2 linked regions of the Arabidopsis thaliana genome follow. The protein of the gene in region 2 interacts with the protein of the main gene of each other region in a pairwise test. Each region holds a gene or a part of one and is shown on either strand. Other genes may lie near its edges. The genes, in order: AT3G12930 and AT2G34750.

Evidence for each region.
Region 1: the proteins of AT2G34750 (region 2) and AT3G12930 interact in a two-hybrid assay, tested with the Arabidopsis thaliana proteins (one large-scale study listed by BioGRID).

The regions. Positions count from the first base shown.
Region 1 is NC_003074.8:4,126,594-4,130,745, reverse strand, and holds AT3G12930 (Lojap-related protein), read right to left. Parts: upstream 2,413-4,152; 5' UTR 2,282-2,412; coding exon 2,042-2,281; intron 1,878-2,041; coding exon 1,751-1,877; intron 1,657-1,750; coding exon 1,518-1,656; intron 1,436-1,517; coding exon 1,347-1,435; intron 1,252-1,346; coding exon 1,130-1,251; 3' UTR 790-1,129; downstream 1-789. Other genes in the region: AT3G12940 (2-oxoglutarate (2OG) and Fe(II)-dependent oxygenase superfamily protein), read left to right, coding at 41-468. UniProt on the Arabidopsis thaliana protein: May be a ribosome silencing factor. Involved in plastid biogenesis.
Region 2 is NC_003071.7:14,659,510-14,666,476, forward strand, and holds AT2G34750 (RNA polymerase I specific transcription initiation factor RRN3 protein), read right to left. Parts: upstream 4,896-6,967; 5' UTR 4,627-4,895; intron 4,345-4,626; 5' UTR 4,284-4,344; coding exon 4,155-4,283; intron 4,034-4,154; coding exon 3,944-4,033; intron 3,852-3,943; coding exon 3,780-3,851; intron 3,676-3,779; coding exon 3,604-3,675; intron 3,518-3,603; coding exon 3,281-3,517; intron 3,190-3,280; coding exon 3,079-3,189; intron 2,992-3,078; coding exon 2,887-2,991; intron 2,770-2,886; coding exon 2,644-2,769; intron 2,536-2,643; coding exon 2,467-2,535; intron 2,356-2,466; coding exon 2,249-2,355; intron 2,146-2,248; coding exon 2,062-2,145; intron 1,952-2,061; coding exon 1,864-1,951; intron 1,683-1,863; coding exon 1,569-1,682; intron 1,476-1,568; coding exon 1,291-1,475; intron 1,193-1,290; coding exon 940-1,192; 3' UTR 797-939; downstream 1-796. Other genes in the region: AT2G34740 (protein phosphatase 2C family protein), read left to right, coding at 33-309, 410-564, 647-796.

The sequences.
Region 1 (4,152 bases), on a different chromosome or scaffold from region 2:
CAGAAGTTTTGATTAACAGTAGATCCTTCCTTTGGTGCAGGATCAATGAAACAGCTGAAAAAACGGAGGAAGAGTGATTCTAGATGCAAACCACTACCACCTTCAAAACGGCTGAGGTTAGAAGCACAGAGAGTTCTCAAGGAACGAGTTCAGGAGATTGCAGATAAAAAAGGAATCAAACTAAGATTCTGCAATCTCAAGGAGTGCGAGAATAACCACAATGTAATGAACAGCCCTTGTGCTAATATAAGAAGGGAGATCGGGTGGCCGCACGGAGTTCCATTTGTTCATCCTCACGACCTACCCAATAAAGCGAAAATCGGTTTCCTTGAGACATATGAGCCTGGATGGTCTGAAACACATGACATGGAGTTCAGTCTGTCTGAAACCGCTCAGGGAAACCAACATGTGACTAACTGTAACCATTCTTCACCCAATAACACTCCTTTTCCTTTCGCTGAGACTTGATCCCGAGGTTACCAGTTCATTTCTTTGATTGCAGGAGATGCGAAAATGAGTCTTCCAGTTTTGGTCTCTTGGTTGCCTTGACTCTTAGTCAGGTTTCAGTGTCAGTGGTTGCACATGCTGTGTATGATCTATGGAACAGGGAGACAAGATAGAGCTGTATGAGTGACTCTTATTATCTGACTCATTGTACATTGTGCCTTTGTATAATATACAAGTATAGCATGTTCCAGGATTCTCATCTATGCACAAAAACCATCTCATATGGCCAGTCAGTGATTTTGATGAATAAGATTTGAGTTCTTTTGGTGCATGAATTTTGTTGCTGTTGAAAGCAAATTAGATTAGAGTCTTGGTCAGTGTGTGTTCCATAACATGAAGAATCATCCTAAAGCATACATTACATAAAGCCGGAACACAGTTTGGGTCTAACTCTACCCAACAAACAATCTAGAAACATGTCTGAGATCTCCTGATATTGTTGGCCCATCAACCCCTCACGCCAAGAGCTGTGTAGTGTAACCAATCAGGCATTGCCTGGACAAACAAACAAAAAAATCTACAGCCTTCATGTGGCATGACTCTAGCCAGTGAAGAGAATCAACAGACTTTCTTCTTCCAAACTGTTACTTTTTGTTTTTTTGGAACAAACTGTCTCATCATATCAGTTCCGTGGTTGTGACTGATCCTCAAAGGGAAGTTCAATTTGCATAGCATTCCCGTAAAAGTCTTCCAAGTTATAGAATGTCCTTTGCGGAGGTAAGAATAAATGGATCACCACATCACCTAAAAGTATATCAATCAACATAAAACTGTCATTATTTTACCCTCACATGACACATTGAACTAGAGGCATGCCAACAACGCAAGAAGAAACTCACCAAAATCTAACAACGTCCACGAATTTGGCTTTACATCTCCATTAGCAACTTTTCCGTACTTCTTCTCAGCCAGGTCTCTCATCCTGGATCTGCATTCGCAGTTCATGAAGAGAAAGTAAATTTGATGTTTTCCAAAGTGGAATATATGAGCAAGTCTAAATAAATCTGTACCCTATTGCATCAATTTGAGGGCGGGAAAACGCAGTGGCAATGATGAAAAACCGAGTCCAGTAAACAAGAGGCTTGACAAAGAGGACCTTAATATCTCCAGCTTTCACATCACTCGCAACTTTAGCCAATTCAACAGCAACTGCAACAAATGTGAATAACAACATCAATACCATTGCTAAAGCCAAATAGGTCAAGAAATATATACTGCAAATGAATATAAGGCTTTGGCTTACATGCTAAACTCTCTGCATCATCGTCAACCTCAGCTGTTGGAGACTTAACATCAGTGCTTCTAAAAACAACCTTCCCATATTTGTTGAACAAGTCGTCGAACATCTCATCAGTATCTTCGCTCACATTCTGCACAACGCATTGTCAAACCAACTATACTCAGCACTTCTAAAGTTCTAATCTTTCTTAAGCATTACTTAATCAGGTAATTCGCACCAAATTACTTCCTAGAACAAATACAATTACTGTAGAAATTGCAAGGCAAAATCGAAACGGTAAGAGTTTGATCGTACCGATAGAAACCCATCTTCTGCTTCCTTTCCCACAGCAAATTTCCGTGAGTTACTGAGAGAAGTCAAAATTTTGCCTCTGGATAGTCGCCAACAGCAATTATAAGGAGACGATAAATCTCTGTTGCTAAGGCATGACAATGAAGAAGAAGTCTTTCTGGGTATTAGAGACGATACAGCTGGTAATCGAAAATCTCCGGCAAGCAGAGCTCCGGCGACGGTGAGACCGGTGGAAGATGCCATTAATCTCGCTGGTTTCGAAAACTCTACTCGTCAAGCGGATAAGATATCTAAAACCCTTCGCCTTTGTTCTGATAAAAGTATTAACTTAATGATATTCAATTTTGTGTTAATTAATTACACACATCGTATCATGGGCTTATTTCTTATTTTCGTTTTGGGCCTCTAATATCTCGAAATGGGCCTGTTTCAAGGATCCATATCAGATAGACAGATAATAAACATGCAGGCAACTTCTAATTCCATAGCCGAATGTTCTCTATCACTGTGTGTTGTTGTTTAGATTTTATTCTAAGATTTTTAAAAAATGGAGCTGACTTGATTGGTTGGTATTATCAGGCAAGATTGTTGAGAATGGAATAAATGAGAAACGAAATTATCGAAAAGATAAGACTAGAAATGGGGGTGGACCACTAAAAGCATACTTACTAGAGTTCCCAAATTGGCATTGATCATTAATCATATATATATAAATAAAAAAATGTCGCATTCTATGATGAGTACATAACACAGAGGGCCAAAAAAACCTCAAATGTCACAGTCTCACATAGGTCATAATCCCACGGAATCAATCGATATAATTTATGAAAAAGAGAGGTAGCTAGTAGCCTACACAGACACACACATGTCTCTGCCTGCATACATTATATACTTTTTATAAAATAATTTATATGAAGCAAACAAGTTTGGTTGGGGAAGTGTGATGAATTGGACAAGTTTGTGTAATTATAGAGCAAGAGAGGGACATTGCAAATAATACAACCGCACATCTACCTTCCTGTCAACATTTTTCTTATTAATTTTTTTTCTTGGTTTTTCGGGTACCATTTATTTTTCTGTTCATTACAATTCTGACATTTTCTTTTGTTATATCACATCTATACTCAAAACACACAAAATTTTCAAAGATATTGACATAAATCCACGGAGAAATGTGGTGTAATGGAATTGGAGAGGAAGAGCCATTCATTTTCTTTTGCCGACCCCTTTTTTCTCTCTACACATTTTCATGCATTCTCTTAAAAGTTGACAGTGAATTCACGTCTTCTCATGGTCTCACATTTCCTTTTTTTTTTAATTTCCATTATGGTTATTGTATAATTAATATCCATATTTATATTGAGAAAAGAGAAAGACCTATCGATTTCACTTGTTTTCTGTTCATATGTGTAGTGGGTGGGAGGGTGAGGTTGATTCCTTATCTTCACCCAAAGATTTTATATGTTAATCAATCTTGGCAGCTAATTAACACACTAGTTAATTAATTTAAATATGACAACTTAGTCAAATTGGAGCTATCGACAGAGGATAAATACGATTCATATCAAACATGGAAAGAGAGATTAGTTGTGGGTGGCATCTGATTCCAAAATGAAACGTTAACGTGGGGATAGGTCAGAAGGATTAGGTGAAGGTACATGAGTGAGTAACCCATATAATGGAGATGTTTCTTTTATTTTATACTACGTTATACGTTAATAATATTGTTTATATGAGTCCTCGATAATTACGGCTCCGTCTCGATCTACAAATTGCCTTGGATCCACGTAACGTGTAAAGACTTGAAAATTCGTATGAGTTTTTGCTGCTCTACTCAATTATAACTTTATCAGATAGATTAGGTGGGTCCACATGCTGGTGCATGAATTCAAGTGCAACGGTCAAAAATATCGTGGAATATGGAGTAGACAAAATAAATAAAAATGAGAAGTTTTGTAACAATGAGGTGCGAGAAGGAGTGGAAATTAAAGTCTTTGTTAAGTGTGTTTCCGATAGAAGTAATGAGATGTTTGAATGTTGACAATGAGCTCCATTGATCTATATATCAACTTCCCTTCCCCCACCAAAATCTTTCATTTATTTATATTAATACG
Region 2 (6,967 bases):
TTTAAAGACTTTGTTGTTGTTGTTTCATGAAGCCGGATTTTTGGAGAAACCCTAAGAAGGCAATCAAAAGAGCGTATAAATCTACGGACGACTACATTCTTCAAAACGTGGTTGGTCCACGAGGTGGCTCCACGGCTGTGACGGCTATAGTAATTGATGGGAAGAAAATTGTGGTTGCAAACGTTGGAGATTCAAGAGCAATCTTGTGTCGTGAAAGTGATGTAGTCAAACAAATTACGGTTGATCACGAACCTGACAAAGAGAGAGATCTTGTCAAGAGCAAAGGCGGCTTTGTCTCCCAAAAGCCAGGTCCCTTCTTTTGTATCTTTTACTAAGAAGAAAAGAGAAAATGATCTATTTCGGACTTCCAAGGCAAAGCCAATAAACCCATGTTACTTATAATGATTAGGCAATGTTCCGAGAGTGGATGGACAACTAGCGATGACGCGTGCGTTTGGAGACGGAGGCCTTAAAGAGCATATAAGTGTGATCCCGAACATAGAGATTGCCGAGATCCACGATGACACAAAGTTCTTGATCTTGGCTAGCGATGGACTCTGGAAGGTTTCTACATATGAATGCCATGGGACGTTATTAATTGGTGCACCCAAAGATAGGACTAAATCTTGATTGGTTTCTTTGTCAGGTGATGTCGAACGACGAGGTTTGGGATCAAATCAAAAAGAGAGGGAATGCAGAAGAAGCTGCGAAAATGCTAATTGATAAAGCCTTGGCTAGAGGAAGTAAAGATGATATCTCTTGTGTTGTTGTTTCTTTCCTTCAATGGATCGATTAAATGATTCAAGTATCTTTAATGTTTCATTAGGTGAACCACATATTAAGCAGTTTTTTGAAAGGAAAACAAACATTGTTTCATACAATAATATGTTCTCAGTCGAATCACTGTTACATATTGCTACAAAAATGTGTATAGTAGAATCACAAGGATTCAGGACTCGTTGACGGTCTGATCCTGGAAGGCATTCTTAAAAGTCTGTCTCTTTCCATCTTGTTCTTGAAAGAGTGCTTAGGCGTTATGGACATCTTGTTCAGGGCGTAATCAAGATCAGCCTCGTCATCTTCGTCACTGTCCTCATCTCCATTCACGATCACCTCAGCATCATTATCATCATCATCTTCGTCATAGGTCGCTTTGACCATTGACCAGTAGATGAAATTTGGGGAGATAAAGCTACAACATCACCCAAGAAAATGCAGAAACAGAGTCAAGACTTTCAATTAAGATTCCTGTAAAAGAATCGGTGCAATGGTTTAAAGATAGAGATGAACCTGTTTGAGGATTTTAGCAAGCAAGGGTCAAATGGGAAGAATGTATCCAGCCTCTCAAACCCGCCAAAAGCACGGGAAAGCTCAGACTCAAGTAGGTCATCGAAAATGAACGAGTCTGAGACGATGAACAGACCACCTTCTTTAGCTTGTCTAAGGAACTCCGCAACTACCGATGGAAGGCATACCTATTCTCAAAGCAGAATTCGCTTATCATGCATTTGATACATTGGCACACTTCCATATAACAGTTGACCTTATGTGACGAAAAGATAACTCACCATCAATGGGTTTAGTTTGTGCATTAATATTGACTCCAATGGTGTAAGCTGGGACCGAAAGCGAGGAACATCCAAGATGGATCTCATCCTGAAGCAGAGCACATACATGATTGCCTGTGGTCACAGAACAGATTCAAATGACAGTTTAAAATAATGTAACTACATTTTGGAATGACTCTTTGAAACTTAAAACTCTCAAGGACAGGTAAAAAAAATATTTTCGAGGATGAAATAGCAACAGAGTGATTGTAGAATTTTGTGACAGCAGGGGCCTGGGCTTGAATGCTATATATACCTGACATCCGGAGAAGAAAATCTGATGTGCTTCAGGCCTAGTATCATCATTGCAAGTTCTGCAGTAACCCACACACTCATCTATCAACCTAAAATTTTTGGACACAACAAAAACAATGTTACAAGTTACAACAAACTGAAGCTTCAATCAGATAAAATGATTATGTTTGAGGTGACATTTTGTAGAAATCGCTTCCACCTTTTCAACATGCTAGCCACAAAGGAAACAGGCAAAAACTTTCCACGAGCCAAGAAGCTAGCAAGATAAGCCACCGCACTCATTCTGTTAAGGGGGAGAGACAAAAGCACAACCAAGTTTGTGATTAGAACAATGACAGAACATATCATGCAGCGAACGAGAAAATTTAAACCGAAGGGATGCTTGCCTAGTAGCTACATGCTTGTTGCTGGAGAGAAAAATCTCCACTAGCTTACTAGCAAATTTCACACCACAATTTTCAGGATCCAGTGAGCAGGCATAGAATATCAGAAACTGCAGATGATATAGAAAGTGAGTATAAACCGAGACATTTCATGTCGACCATGCTAGAGTCTAGAAGAATATGTACATAATTATGCAAAATATGATAGCTATATGGACTACCTGGGTGAATTTTGATTTGTATGTGTTCAGAATGAAGTTTTCAAATGACTTGAAGAGGCTTTCAAACACCTACGCCAAAATAATTAAAAAAAATCAGAAGTGCTAAGAAGATTCTCGAGTCCATCATTAAGGAAAGTATAGATGCATATGTCAATGAGGTCCCATTTGGTGCCATACCTGATCCAAACGACCATCATTTTGACAGGATTCAAGATGCTCAAAAGCTACGACCATCAATTTGTCCAACAACTTAGAGACTATACTTCCATCTGATGTATCCTGCTTTAGAGGTCCCACTGGAAGCTGCAATAGATAAATCAAGTCCAAACTTTCGTAGTTCAGCAAAAAGAATGTTCCAACTAACTTGTTATCTAGCAACTTTTAACTGATACCAAAAGGAAACATAAACATAAAGTCTACCTCGTCTCCATCATTCATAGTGCCTTCAGCTGCATCTTCAAGTTCCATATCAAACATTCCTCTACTAGAGTCATCTTGTGGAATATCATCCCATTCAATCTCTAACTACAAGGATACACCAGCATATCATTCACTCACCAATACCACATTACTTACTGACCTCAATTGTATAAGCATATTCTGTCTACTTACATCCAAATCTCGCAGCCTCTCCATCACCATACCAAGAATCATGCTGCCACCAACTTGCCCTATTGAGCTATTCTCCAATTTTAATAAGCTCTCCACATATATCACTATCGACTGCAAGGCGGTAAGATAGTTTCGTATGAGTTTATCGCCAGTATGAGCTTACAACTAAATTGTCCAAAATTTACCAAAAAGAAAGACTCACATGGTCCTTTTTGTGCATCTTGGGCATTTGCTGGAAGAGCATTGGCACTAATCTTGAGGGAGTAAGAGGAACCAAAATAGAGATTTTCAGAAGCGCTGCATGCACCCGAGAAAGAACGTCTATCTTCTTGTTTAGTATACGGGAGTGCGAAAGGTTATTCACTACCCAAGGAGGTGGAACGAAGTTGCTTACGAGCATATTCAGACAAGAGTCTAAATACTTTCCACTAGTGACAGCCTGCGATGGAAAAAAGGCAAAAGTTAAATGGTCTAGCTCTTCATCTAGACTAATAACAATAGGCGGGTAAATGTTGAGTTGTGTACCAGTGATATGACAAGGTTCACCAATGCATCCATGACATCAGGTCTGTGGTCCCACAATTTCATTCGAAAAAGCTAGACATAACAATTGGGATGAAATCCAGGGTAAGATTTGGGAGGATCCATCTTAAAACTATTTAAATTGGAAGCAATTGTAAGCTCGTGCAATAGAAACTTACCGCAGAAAGAAGCTTTTGATGGTGAAGGACATCTATGCAAGCCACAGCGCCTGATAGAGCTTTCAAGACTGTCTGCCAGTTCAATTGAAAAATGAAAACACTTTAGCAAACAGAAAAAGAACAAATAAGAAAGAATTGATTGCCATACAAAGAATAGATCACACCTCAAGCTGCGCCACTACATCAGGATCCTTAAATTCTTTGATGTCCCGTGCCATAACTCCAACCATCTCACTATAAAGGTCTGAGTCCCCCTGTCATTAGCAAAGAATTAATAAAACTAGTATCAAGAAGCATAACAGATAATATAGCATCAAATATATATAACTGTAAACACATAAGCAGAGGAAGAAGCAAAACTTGCACAACACTCACAGTTTTGACAGATGTAAGAGCCTTTCTCACGGTCTGCACCAATTGCGTATCAGATAAATCAACGTTGTCCACATAGTTCTCGACTGTGCATAAGCTCGATGGATCACTCATAAGCTCTACTGCTCCCATCCTCTCTGGACTTAATGTAAATCGTGCTGCTACTTCAAGTTGCCGAAAGTGTGGAACTTTCCTGATGGACAAGAGAAGTATTAAGAAATCTCAAAACTTTCAACATTAACTTATACTCAAGACACCATAAACACTCAATTTAAACTCACTAGAAACAATATCTGGAAAAGTCTCTGAATTTAGACTAAATGTTAAGTATTGAAGCTATATAGACTATCAGCTGCGAAAATAGGGAAAGGAGAGCTATAAGAATCGATGTAACCAAGTAAAATCTCCATTGATTACAGATTTTACAAGAGAAAACTAGTATAAAGACACAAAATACGACGGTGAGAGAACTCACGAGGATGAATAATTGAAAGGGTCCGTCAGCTCAGGGAAACCCTTGTCACTGTCCCGTTCTGATAATTCCGGCCTTCGTTTTTTACTCCTTCGCTATGGTTTTTTCTTGGAGAAGAAAAATAGAGAAGGAGCAGATTCTGATGAAAGACGGCGATAATCGATAAATAATAGGAGACGTTTAGGGTTCACACTTACTTTTTCCTATTTCTTTAATTCCATCTTTTTTTTTCTTCACTATTGTCGTCATTACATCAAATTTTGTTTTCTATGTTTCTGTCGTGTGACAAACACAAATTTTTACTTAATTTAAGTAAGTGAACTATAGACATTATTTTTGGTTAATTGGTCTACTTTGATTGCTCACATAACCATAACTAAATAAGACCAAACCAGATATATATAAACCAAAACGAGAAAAGATTAGGGCCAACACACATACAAATTAGTTTCTCATTACAATTTTTACACCCAAAACAACAGACAAAAGAGCAATCAAAGCCAGCGGATACGAAAAGAAAACAACTCCATTTAAAGATCTAAAAATCTCAAGCATCGAGGTCAGCATCTTCATCCATCTCCTCTTTATACTCCTCTTCATCAGCTGTAGCATCTTGATATTGCTGATACTCAGCCACAAGATCGTTCATGTTACTCTCTGCTTCATTAAACTCCATCTCGTCCATTCCTTCTTCTGTGTACCAATGCAAGAAAGCTTATCTCAACATCAGGCTGATATAACCAATATCTTACTTCTTTTACATTTGTGAAATGGAACCAACCCATTTTTCTGGAAAAAGTGCTAACCAAACATTTGATTAACCGTATCACTACTACTTTCATTTCTATCTTCTGTTTCATTATGCTGACTATTTAAGCTCCGTTGTCAAATCTCTAAGTTAGACATAAAAGACAAAGACTAATCAATTGTCATCACACCAGCGTCGTCGAGTGAGCTATATTAATCGTGGATTTTAAGCATTAAAGAAACATTCTATAGTACTAAAGCAAATAAAATAATTATAATCAAACACTATGCTTGACACTGGTCACGTGTACTGGTAGTGAATGATTCTACATCATAAGAGGCCGCATCAAAATCCTAAAAATAAGCATAATGAATTAATCATTTACAAATTTTATTTTACTCAATAAGAAAATCGAAAGTATGATTATTATCTAGCTGCCACAATCTTCGAATTTAATATTTACTCAAGAAGAGACCGACTTTAATCCTTGACTTTCTCATTGCTCTATGGAAAATGATTAAAGCAGTCAATAAAATCTTTTGACATTGTTGGCAGAAGACCAATAATTCGAAGTCTAAAATGTAATCGTCCACACAGTGTATGAGTATCCTAGTATTTTTTTTCTTTTCCATATAAGTTGAATTTGTAATATATATAGTGTAATGTTGTTTATTTGTGGCAACGTACAAAATTGGGAATCCTATAAGTGCGACGACAAGTGACAAGACGAGGCTATGAACAGCTAATGTATGAAGAGAGCCAAAAGAGCAACAACCTGGCACAGCCGTTGTTTTTTTTGAATATATTGACGATTCGTTGGCCTCCGAGATCTAAGGCATCTCTCACAATCAACGGTCCAGATTCCATCTAGAAGATATATTACACCGACCTTGTTTTCTCTATCTAATTCTCACACACACACCAACGCAAACCTCCAAAACAGGGCCGGGGCGATTCATTCACAATCTCGGCGATTCTCTCTTCCGTCTCGAGTCGCTGAGATCCATCAGGTTCGTTTCTATTCGAATCTATTCTCTTGAATCCGTATTTGTTTCCTTTCCTCTCTAGATAGATTTCATTTTTCTGGAAACATTGAGATTTCCATTGATTTGATGTTTAGTGGTTTAGATCGGATAATTTTTGTTATTGACTCTCAAAAAACGAATCATAACTATCTTAAAACTTTGTTTACGCATTGTTATTGAAGGCTAAATAAAAAATGCTCAATTGTTGCTAGAAAGGAAGGTGTCTCGAAAACATGTGAATTTATTTTTTGAGCCTCATTGTTTCTCACTGCAACAATAGTGAATGATTCAATTGAAAAGAACTTTTGGTTAAGCCATTTTTCTCTTTAATAGATTATGTGTCTCAACTCAATTAGGAACTGTGTGTTTTTTTGTTTCCTTGATGTTAACTTGTGAGTTGATTTATTTGGGTAGTTTACTTGTATATATATTTGGTGGTGGGTCCTGGAGGGAAATGAGTGAGAGGGAGCTCTGTTCATACATTCTATGTTTTTAAATGATTAGTATTTTTCTTTCATCTAATACTTGCTTTTTGTGCTAGGAATTTCGATTTTTGGGACTAATTTATCGA